Linked DNA regions of Bombyx mori. The protein of the gene in region 1 purifies or fractionates together with the protein of each later gene. This does not show direct contact. Links are inferred from orthologs where the notes say so. Each region holds a gene or a part of one and is shown in the gene's direction. Other genes may lie near its edges.

Region 1 (2,867 bases):
ACCTAGTCTCGTATCTCGAGAGTCCAGGACAGCTGTCCAAGTGATACGACATTGCAGGTGGTGCGGTGCGCCTGGCTGAGCAGCGTGTGGTCGTTGTCCCAGCAGTCCAGCAGCGTCACGGTGTGCTGCGGGCGCTGCGGCCGGCGCGCGCGGCCCCGGGCCATGTGCGACCGCTGCCTGCCCCACCCCGACCTGTGCGCCGTGTGCCGACAGGTAACACTGTCCCCCCGACTCGAGCCCCGTGCTGACAGGTAACACTGTCCCCCGACTCGAGCCCCGTGCTGACAGGTAACACTGTCCCCTCGACTCGAGCCCCGTGCTGACAGGTAACACTGTCCCCCGACTCGAGCCCCGTGCTGACAGGTAACACTGTCCCCCGACTCGAGCCCCGTGCTGACAGGTAACACTGTCCCCCGACTCGAGCCCCGTGCTGACAGGTAACACTGTCCCCCCGACTCGAGCCCCGTGCTGACAGGTAACACTGTTCCCCGACTCGAGCCCCGTGCTGACAGGTAACACTGTCCCCCGACTCGAGCCCCGTGCTGACAGGTAACACTGTCCCCCCGACTCGAGCCCCGTGCTGACAGGTAACACTGTCCCCCGACTCGAGCCCCGTGCTGACAGGTAACACTGTCCCCCGACTCGAGCCCCGTGCTGACAGGTAACACTGTCCCCCCGACTCGAGCCCCGTGCTGAAAGGTAACACTGTCCCCCGACTCGAGCCCCGTGCTGACAGGTAACACTGTCCCCCGACTCGAGCCCCGTGCTGACAGGTAACACTGTCCCCCGACTCGAGCCCCGTGCTGACAGGTAACACTGTCCCCCCGACTCGAGCCCCGTGCTGACAGGTAACACTGTTCCCCGACTCGAGCCCCGTGCTGACAGGTAACACTGTCCCCCGACTCGAGCCCCGTGCTGACAGGTAACACTGTCCCCCGACTCGAGCCCCGTGCTGACAGGTAACACTGTCCCCCCGACTCGAGCCCCGTGCTGACAGGTAACACTGTCCCCCCGACTCGAGCCCCGTGCTGACAGGTAACACTGTCCCCCGACTCGAGCCCCGTGCTGACAGGTAACACTGTCCCCCCGACTCGAGCCCCGTGCTGACAGGTAACACTGTCCCCCCGACTCGAGCCCCGTGCTGACAGGTAACACTGTCCCCCCGACTCGAGCCCCTCTACTCTAACTGTAATTCGGCCCCCGTGGTGCGGCAGGTGGTGCGCGGGCTGTACGCGTGGTGCCAGGGCTGCTCGCACGGCGGCCACTTGGAGCACATGCGCCAGTGGATGGAGAAGCACCAGCTCTGTCCCGCCGGCTGCGGACATCACTGTCAACTAGGCTGAAGTACTCCTTACAGAAAATGTTACTCTACAAAGTTTCTTCCATCATTGTATATCTTAGTTATACATCTTTTATAAAAAGAACATTTTGATAAGAGATTTATTTTGTGTAAAGTAAATACTCTTTTGTAATATTTTTTATTTACATTTAAGCATAGTTTCTGTTAGAATAAAATCTTAAAAATATGTGTTCGTTAAATGTAACCAATCTATTGAGACCAGCAACCTAAACTAGTCCTCGTCTACATTTGTATACATGTGTGCGATCTCACTGGGCGCGAGACCTCTTGTGAGTCCGCGCGGGTAGGTAAGGGCGATACAGCCGTTGTAACTATACTTGAGACCTTAGAACTTGGTGGATGGCGCATATACGTTGTAGATGTCTATGGGCTCCAGTAACCACTTAACACCAGGTGCGTTACTCTAAGCGGGCGATGACGTGCACGCTGAGACATACACCCTCCCCCTGCGACCTCCTCTTTCAAGACGAGCTCACGGCCCCCCTGGTTTTAAGTGGTTACCGGAGCCCATAGACTTCAATAACAAAAAATGAGCACTACCGAAATTGAGACAAGAGTTCTTCAGTCTCAGTTGTATCAGTACAATTATTACAGTACGCACGTAATTACTGCTAACTACATGTGATTTTTTGTCTGTAGTGTATGCAGTACAGCCATCCCTTGTTTAAACAGACTAAAGTTATCTAACTTAAGGCTTCCATTTTAAATTACTATTTTGGGTGGCCGCCCCACTGATATAACTTACAATAATACAATATTATATTGCATACTGAAATAGCTTCTAGTGTCGCGCCGCTGCTCATTATTATATTAATGTAGACAACACTCGATCAACTCGCGCTAAATAAAATTACATTTTAAATTTTATGGGAATTTATTAATATATTTACAGATTGTACAGATGCTATGTTTTTGTATTGAATATATTTTGTGAACAAATAATAAAGAAAACAACGCAACGTATGTAATCATGGTTTTATTTAATAAGTATTCTTATTTACAAACTGTATTTTGAGTGTATCATTGACAACAAGCTGACCACAGTGATATCTTCATCGGCGGTCATAGTGTTAGGCTGTTCAGATTTATGGGAGGTCGGACAGTTAACGTTAGTAGTGGAGGTGCTCGGTGACTTAGTACCGGCCTCCACAGACCCCGCCACTCGCCTCCCCCGGCCGACCCCGGGCGGGCCGCGGGAGGCGAGTCGTGACGTCTGCGCAGTGGCTGGAAATTACTTCCTTTATAAGTTAAACTAAGATATAGAACAGCACGACGGTTTGCATCTACCTGCGTCGTCGGGGGCGGGGTCCTCCTCGGCTGCGAGACCCCTCTTCACTCGTGACATCTGTCGGATAAGGGTCAGGAACGCCTGTCAAGTAATGGCGAGTCAGTTGTCGGACCGGTCAGGTTATAATCGAATTACATGCAGTTAATTTACATTAGAAACTCTTTGTTGACAACCATAAACAAGCAGATAAGCTAAACTTAGCTACAGGGCGTAACGCTC
Region 2 (3,724 bases), on another chromosome or scaffold:
ACCTTTTCTCCAATAAACGATATATGCTGGAATTGGTGGGAGATTCTCAGACCAAATGCCGTTTCTGAGGCTTTTTGCTTGTGCTTCTGCTGATAATAGAGCAGGGGCAATTTGTGACTCAATGGTATTCTTTTTTAATTCTTTAGGAAATGATGCTTTTGCAAATCCAAGCTCCACCAATTTTTTACCAATATCCAATGTTTGAACATCTTTACTCTGAAATGGAAAACATTTTTGAAGAGTAATTTTTAATAATTTAAGGTATTTTGTTGAATTTGTTTAAATTGAAATATACCTTAGGCTGAGGTAAATGCAATAATACAGTAGAAACTAGATCATCATTATCTCTTCCGATTGGCTTTAATGTCACTTGCTGGCCCCTAGCAACACATTCCAGCCAATTGACTGCATTCCCACTAACTACTTCAATTCCCCACAGCTAAAACAAAACAAAAAGAAAATATTTTTATTACTTTGTAGGTAAATTTTCGTACAAGTTATATTTTTATCACATTTACCTTAACTGGTAGTGGAGGTTTACTGGAATGCCATAGCGGTAAATATATTGGGGCTTTGTGATTGACCAGAACACGAACTGGTGAATGTTGCACTCCAGCATATAATCCTTTCAAAGGTTCATGATTTCTGATGAAATGATCTGGAACTTTACTGGCTTTCGAAAACTTGCTAACCTATCGAAGTAATTTTATTATTTATAGTTATGTAATTATTAATATAGGGTTTTTTAAACAAATACTTACAGGGCGAATCTTATGAACAGATATGGCGAGACCAGCGGTGGCTAGAGCATATACTGCTATCTGTAAACAACAATCAGATGATAGTGCTTCGTTTACAAAGTTATTATTATCAACATCAACTTGTAATTATCTACATACGTTAACCCCGCGATAATCTTGTTGTAATAAATATTGCATGTTGTAAAATATTCCTCCTTCTTTTTGAGACATTTTGATGTCTACAGATACGAAATTCTCATAATTTCTTAAACTTTCGTAAATTAGCTCATCAATATTTTCAATCCAATTCTGAATTTAGATGAATGAGAGAAAAAACAGCTTCAGACTTGTCAGAATTTTTGTTTGATTCTACTAGAGCTCTTTATTATCTTTGGTTAACTACCAAATGTAACCTGACACAGTGTTTAATCTTTGGTTATTACTTACATAAAGCATAGATTTTTTAATTTTTTTGAGGCCTAGTCTTGATATGTCAATAAAAGTATCTTCATACAGTTTAGGTTTAGCTATAAATATAAATGCTTAAAACTTTTGGGAGATACTTCATAAGTAACGCGCAAAAAGTAATAAAGAAATAAATAACTTAACCAAAGATTGTGCTAACCTAAGGTTAACAAATAATACCAAAGAGGTAATTTATGACCTCTAACACACGAGCGGCATTCTGGCACTAAAATATTTGTGCTTTTTTGTAGACTGTGTTGGAGCTATGTGATCAATAATCTCGAATCATCAAGAAAATCTCTAGCTTCCATAACAAAATTGATAAAAAGAATAATTCAGTTGTAGCGTCGCGTATGTTGAAGCTGCAATTTAATTCTGCCACTTTTTATTATTATATTGTTAAACTTACCTAATAAGTTTAGAGGTGACGCACTGCGACTGTCTTTGCAATGTCGAAATAGCTCGTGTGGATGGATACAAAATATTTTACTGGTAGCACTGTTGAAATTCCACGTCAACTGATTTGACAGTTGATTGCCCATTTTCCGTTGTGTATTGTGTAGGTTAATAAAAATATATAATAATGATCACTGTTTTGAATACTATTGATACCGGCCATGAAGATATGATACACGACGCCGAACTGGATTATTACGGACTAAAACTAGCTACATGTTCTTCGGATAATTCAGTGAAAATATACGACATTAAGAATGGTACACAAACATTGGCTGCTGATTTGAAGGGTCATTTTGGCCCCGTGTGGCAGGTAGCTTGGGCTCATCCCAAGTATGGGAACCTATTAGCGTCATGCTCTTATGACAGGAAAGTTATCATATGGAAAGAGTCTGGAGAGTGGACTAAACTATACGAATACACTGGACACGAAAGCTCTGTGAACTCTGTTGCGTGGGCGCCGGCTGAGTACGGCTTAATCCTCGCTTGTTGTAGTTCAGATGGCTCAATCTCTATCATACAATATTCACAAGATACTGGTAATTGGGACGTAAAAAAGATAACGGGTGCACATGCCATTGGTGTTAATTCTATTAGTTGGTGCCCAGCTTTATCTGCAGATTTGAACTTAGATCCGCTTACCAATAAAGATGCTCCAAAGAGATTAGTTACTGGAGGGTGTGATAATTTAATCAAGGTATGTTACAAGTTGTGTTTAATTGTTTACTGACTCTGTATTACAGTAGTTAGCACTCCTAACTGTTGCGCCACAGAGAATCCTGATTTGGGGCCAGATGAATGTGTGTGATTTATTCCGGGTTATTTATTTATAAGGCAAAAAAAGAAGGCAGCAATTTTTCTTTTCACAATATCATATATTGCATGCATTAGTTAATTTTAAATGAAAATAGATATATTTCAACAATAATTAGTTGAATTTTTTTAATATATCTACCTAAAATTACCTTGTCCTTTATTATCGATATGTTCTTAATAAACCCTGTATTTAATGATTACTATTTAATGACATCATAATGCTTCTTAATTATAATTTTTTTAGTTAGTTATTCCGGTTGTTGTTTTCAGATTTGGAGAGAGCAAGGTGATCAATGGGTTGAAGAGAACAGATTAGAGTTGCACATTGATTGGGTCAGAGATGTAGCGTGGGCACCCTCTCTGGGATTACAACGTTCCATGATTGCCAGCTGCTCCCAAGACAAGAGGGTTGTCATATGGTCTAGTGATGATAATGTATCTTGGACACCAACAATATTAAACACATTTGATGATGTAGTATGGAGTGTTAGCTGGTCTCTCACTGGCAACATCTTGGCTGTATCAGGAGGAGATAACAAAGTCAGCCTTTGGCGTGAGAGCACTGATGGCCAGTGGTTATGTATTAGTGAAGTTGCCAAAGGTTTGGGCCAAACACCCAATGATGAAAGAAGCACACTTTGAATTTGCTTTTAATTTCATTTGTTAATTTTGTAATCTGCTAATAGTAATATAAAATATGTACATTAACACTGATCTTTTATAAACTTCATCAAAACCCAGATTTAATCTATATATTCAATTTGATAATCCAATAATTGGGTTGTGACATATCTAACAGGTTTTAAATAAATTGCTATGATTATTATTACTGTATGTATTGAACATGGGCTGAGGAGATGAAGTCACTATTGTCAATGTACACAATAATTTTCAATTTGATAGTATATTTTATAGAATTTAAAGAGATATTTTTAGTTTAAAGAGAAAAGTTCACATGTATACTTGACATGGAAATAAAAATTAGAGAAATGTACTTTTCACCTTGGAAAGTATGTTGCCATATGTCGCCAGAATAACTAGAATAGGTAAAAATATTTGGGTTCTTGTCTTAATTGTTTGTGACAATAGAAATAAAACAAAGGGACATAATATATATAAAAAAAATTATACTTAAAATACAAACTATCACATGTTTTTAAGATTAAAGTCAATTTGTTCTAACAATAATGGCATCTGATAATATTCGGCTATTGTCTTAAAAGTCATTAGTTGGTCTTTGATCTCTG
Region 3 (3,661 bases), on another chromosome or scaffold:
CAGGAAAATGTGTTTTGAATATTTTGTTTTGTTGTTTTGGTGCGTAGAGAGGAGATGCAAGTGACTAGGAGATGTATGGAAATGGTGTGGGGGAAGAGGTCGAACGAAGAAGACATGAATGGAGTGTGTGAATGGAAGATATGAGAGAGAGAGAGAGAGAGAGGAACGGAGTGAGTGTTGAGATGAGGACTGATAGAAGAGAATTGAATAGAACCATTCTCTTTGCCGACCCAGCGTTGTGGAGACAAAAAAGATTTTGTTTCGTTGTTGCATTTTTGAAGTTGTCGTGGCCTAAAGGATAAGAAGGTCTTCGAATACCGCAGGCAAGTACCAATTTTTCTAATGATATACGTACTTAACAAATCTTTACGATTGACTACTACAGTGAAGGAATAACATTGTGTAATAAAAATCAAACCCCAAATATTATAACTTGCGTAATTACTGGTGGTAGGACGTCTTGTGAGTCCGCACGGGTAGGTATCACCACCCTGCCTATTTTTACCGTGAAGCAGTAATGCATTTCGGTTTGAAGGGTGGGGTAGCTATTGTACTGTAAAATCAGACCTTTCGTACTCAATATATGGCTTTATTTACGTTGTAGATGTCTATGAGCTCCGGTAACCTCTTAACACCAGGTGGACCGTGGGCTCGTCCACCAACTGAAGCTATAAAAATTTTTTTTTTCATATTTTTACAGCTAGCTGCTCATGATGAAGTGAATGAGAGGAACGACAGTGAAATTAATGGTGATAATGAAGAAGAGGAAGAGAATCTCCGACATTCTGTTAGTTCTACAACATATAGTGTAGATAATGGCCTTGAGGGAGGCCCAATGTCTGCCTACCACTTAATATTACAAAGGAGTTCATTAGCTAGGTCCATGAAATCTGTCTTTGAGGAACTAAGTAGCACAGGTTAAACACTTTTCTTAAAATATAACATATCTAGACTAAATTTTACTGGTGGGCCTAGTACAATAAACTTTTGTACTAGGCCTACATGGTATTAAGTGGTTACTGGAATTGAAAAACTTCACAGTCTGAATGTTGCCCTTGAAATACCCTCGCTTTTATGATATGAGACATGTCTCGACTATATGTATAGTATAACAGCTGGTCTTCTCTTCGAACCGAAATTAATTATGGCTTTGCAGCAAATAAAAGCAGGGTGCTGGTAACCGCACAGACTCATCAGAACATGTTATGTGCGTATTGCAACGATTAATATCTGTCTGTGTAATTTGCACACCATAATGGTCAAGTCGCACTATATAAGTACACCAGACGCCCTTTCCATTTAAGTCACGACAACATCATACCTAATTAGTAACAAGTGATTCTGATAACTTGGTTTAAATACAAAAACAATTTAGATATGAAATTAGCTTTTGCTTTAATTTTCAGGCATAGTTCAAGTACGTGTAAATAAATGGGTGCTTCTATCCTTCTGTTTGCCCCACAAAGCCCATCAAATTCACAACAGAGGATTGATAATAGAACCGGAAACAATAGACAAATGTTTGCAAAAACTGAGGCCATACCACGGCATGCTACTACTTGTAAGTAATCAAATATACATACAACTTTTTTAGTGTTTATGAATATTGAAAATTTTAAACATAAAAGAAAAGTGACTTCAACAAATTAAAATGAGAATATTATCAAAATAGTAGAACACAAGTTTTTTATTTATTTTATTGCCCTTGTAGGCAGACGGGCATACAGACCACCTGATGGTGAGTGGCTACCGTCGCCCATGGAATTTAGTAATGCCAGGGGCAGAGCCAAGCCGCTGCCTACTGCTTAATACTCTTCTCAATAATGTTTTCCGTTACTACATTTGACGTTTCTAATATAAGAACTGTATCCTTGTACTAGTGAATTGTTTTGTTAATTTACTTTAAGGTGAATCCAAATGATTTGTTGGCGTCGATACCACTGGATGGCAGCTCTGCATTGCTGCGACTTATTAAACTATATAGCCCTCTAAAAAGTCTTCAAACACTGGCCATAGAAGCGGATCTGACATTCAAACAGGTATAAACAGTATAAATCCATAAATAAGTCAAAATTTTATTATTTTTAAGGTTCTTTTAGATTAAAAGGAAGTCTAAAAAGCAAGTTGGTTTAAGAAATTCAATATGAGCTAAATTTCTCATTATTTTATAATCAATAATCAAATCAATAATGTATACATATAACAGGGTTCTGTGACTATTTACTCTAACTAAACTAGTCTTATCTAGTAATTAACATACATATTGTGTACATGTCATTTGTATGTTTCAATGAATACTCTCGGAATAAAATAATTATAATTGATATAAAAGGATGCATAAGCACAATTAGCGGTTCGTGTTTTGAGTACTTAAAAGCAAAGTGATTGGTAAAAAATGATAATCACATAGTGATATGATACGGCCTTCTTCAAGGCTTAAATATAAACATGGCTGGTCGGTAATGGCTTGGTGGTGTCTGTACCGTTGCTGATGTCCATGAACGACAATGGTGACTACTCAGTATCAAGTGGGTCATAAAATCGATGCCGTTCATACCTGTACAAAAATAAAAACCAAAATTAATTACCTTTTACAACCCTTCACTTCAATTTCTATCACTTACATATTAAAACTTTAAATTAAATTTTTTAAACTGTTCTGTACCCTAAAATAATATTTGCGTAGTATTTAAAGGGACAATGAATACCAATCTTTAAATAAAAAAGTAAACCAAACTAAGCTAGCTCTATGAGCGACAATAATATTTCGTTTCAGGTTTAATTGTGTAAAATGTTTTTCGAATTATTCTAGGTCTCTCAACTAACTGGACATTTAGTGTATTGGGCTAAAGCGACGGTGATCTATCCATTGTGCGAAGGGAATGTATACGTTGTGGCCCCCGGCGCGAATATTCACATACATTCACCTCTTGTCGATGAATTCGCCAAGGAGTTTCCTGGGCTATGTTTATTGCAAGTATGAGACATTCATTATTTTCTTTACGCACTATAATTTATAAAGGAATTAAAGTATCACAAAAATATAATTGTTCAATAGAAACTTACTTATGCTCGCTCACCCTATAATGATGAAAATTGACAATAATCACAGACAAGATTTTCGATTATCGATTTTAGATTTCGATTTTAATTTTTAAACGGAATTTTAAAAACTGAATATCCCAAAAAATAATGACAATAAACCTCGACAATTGCTACTAAAACGAAAGAAAGTTTAACTGACTGACTCGGTGGTGCAGTGGTTAGTGGTCCTGACTGTTGCGCTGAGGGTCGTGGGTTCTATTCCCACATCGGGCAAACATTGTGTGATGAACAAGTTGTTGGCTCTTTGTCTGTTTGATTGTGAGTGGTTAACGTCGCCCATGAACTTTAGCAATGTCAGGGACAGAGCCAAGCCGCTGCCTACCAATTAATTACCTACTATTATTATTACATTTAAAAAAATATCTGTGTTTAGTCATTTTATTTACGTTATTTCTGTATTTGCAGATGCTCAGTGAGTTCTCTCTGCCGGCTCCGCTGTGGTACATATCGCGGAGCGCGGGCGGCGGGTGCGGGGGCTCGGCGCGGCTGGCCCGCTGCGTGGCGTGGCTGTTGCAACGCAGACTCTTGCTGCAGCTCCATACGTACGTGCAGTTCA

What was found.
Region 2: the proteins of GATOR2 complex protein WDR24 (region 1) and protein SEC13 homolog purify together in Homo sapiens (affinity purification with mass spectrometry; 5 studies listed by BioGRID and IntAct, counting the BioPlex papers as one, with this or other methods). This does not show direct contact. The link is inferred for Bombyx mori from reciprocal best matches to the Homo sapiens genes WDR24 and SEC13.
Region 3: the proteins of GATOR2 complex protein WDR24 (region 1) and GATOR complex protein NPRL3 purify together in Homo sapiens (affinity purification with western blotting; 6 studies listed by BioGRID and IntAct, with this or other methods). This does not show direct contact. The link is inferred for Bombyx mori from reciprocal best matches to the Homo sapiens genes WDR24 and NPRL3.

The regions. Positions count from the first base shown.
Region 1 is NC_085114.1:15,877,742-15,880,608, reverse strand, and holds the end of GATOR2 complex protein WDR24, read left to right. Parts: intron 1-57; coding exon 58-213; intron 214-1,214; coding exon 1,215-1,343; 3' UTR 1,344-2,323; downstream 2,324-2,867. UniProt on the Homo sapiens protein: Catalytic component of the GATOR2 complex, a multiprotein complex that acts as an activator of the amino acid-sensing branch of the mTORC1 signaling pathway. The GATOR2 complex indirectly activates mTORC1 through the inhibition of the GATOR1 subcomplex.
Region 2 is NC_085131.1:3,993,713-3,997,436, reverse strand, and holds protein SEC13 homolog, read left to right. Parts: upstream 1-971; 5' UTR 972-1,788; coding exon 1,789-2,358; intron 2,359-2,747; coding exon 2,748-3,119; 3' UTR 3,120-3,185; downstream 3,186-3,724. Other genes in the region: uncharacterized protein LOC101741756, read right to left, coding at 1-216, 296-439, 519-692, 762-821, 900-971; DNA polymerase epsilon catalytic subunit 1, read right to left, coding at 3,624-3,724. UniProt on the Homo sapiens protein: Functions as a component of the nuclear pore complex (NPC) and the COPII coat. At the endoplasmic reticulum, SEC13 is involved in the biogenesis of COPII-coated vesicles.
Region 3 is NC_085124.1:9,506,817-9,510,477, reverse strand, and holds part of GATOR complex protein NPRL3, read left to right. Parts: intron 1-700; coding exon 701-917; intron 918-1,406; coding exon 1,407-1,561; intron 1,562-1,907; coding exon 1,908-2,039; intron 2,040-2,812; coding exon 2,813-2,977; intron 2,978-3,510; coding exon 3,511-3,661. UniProt on the Homo sapiens protein: As a component of the GATOR1 complex functions as an inhibitor of the amino acid-sensing branch of the mTORC1 pathway.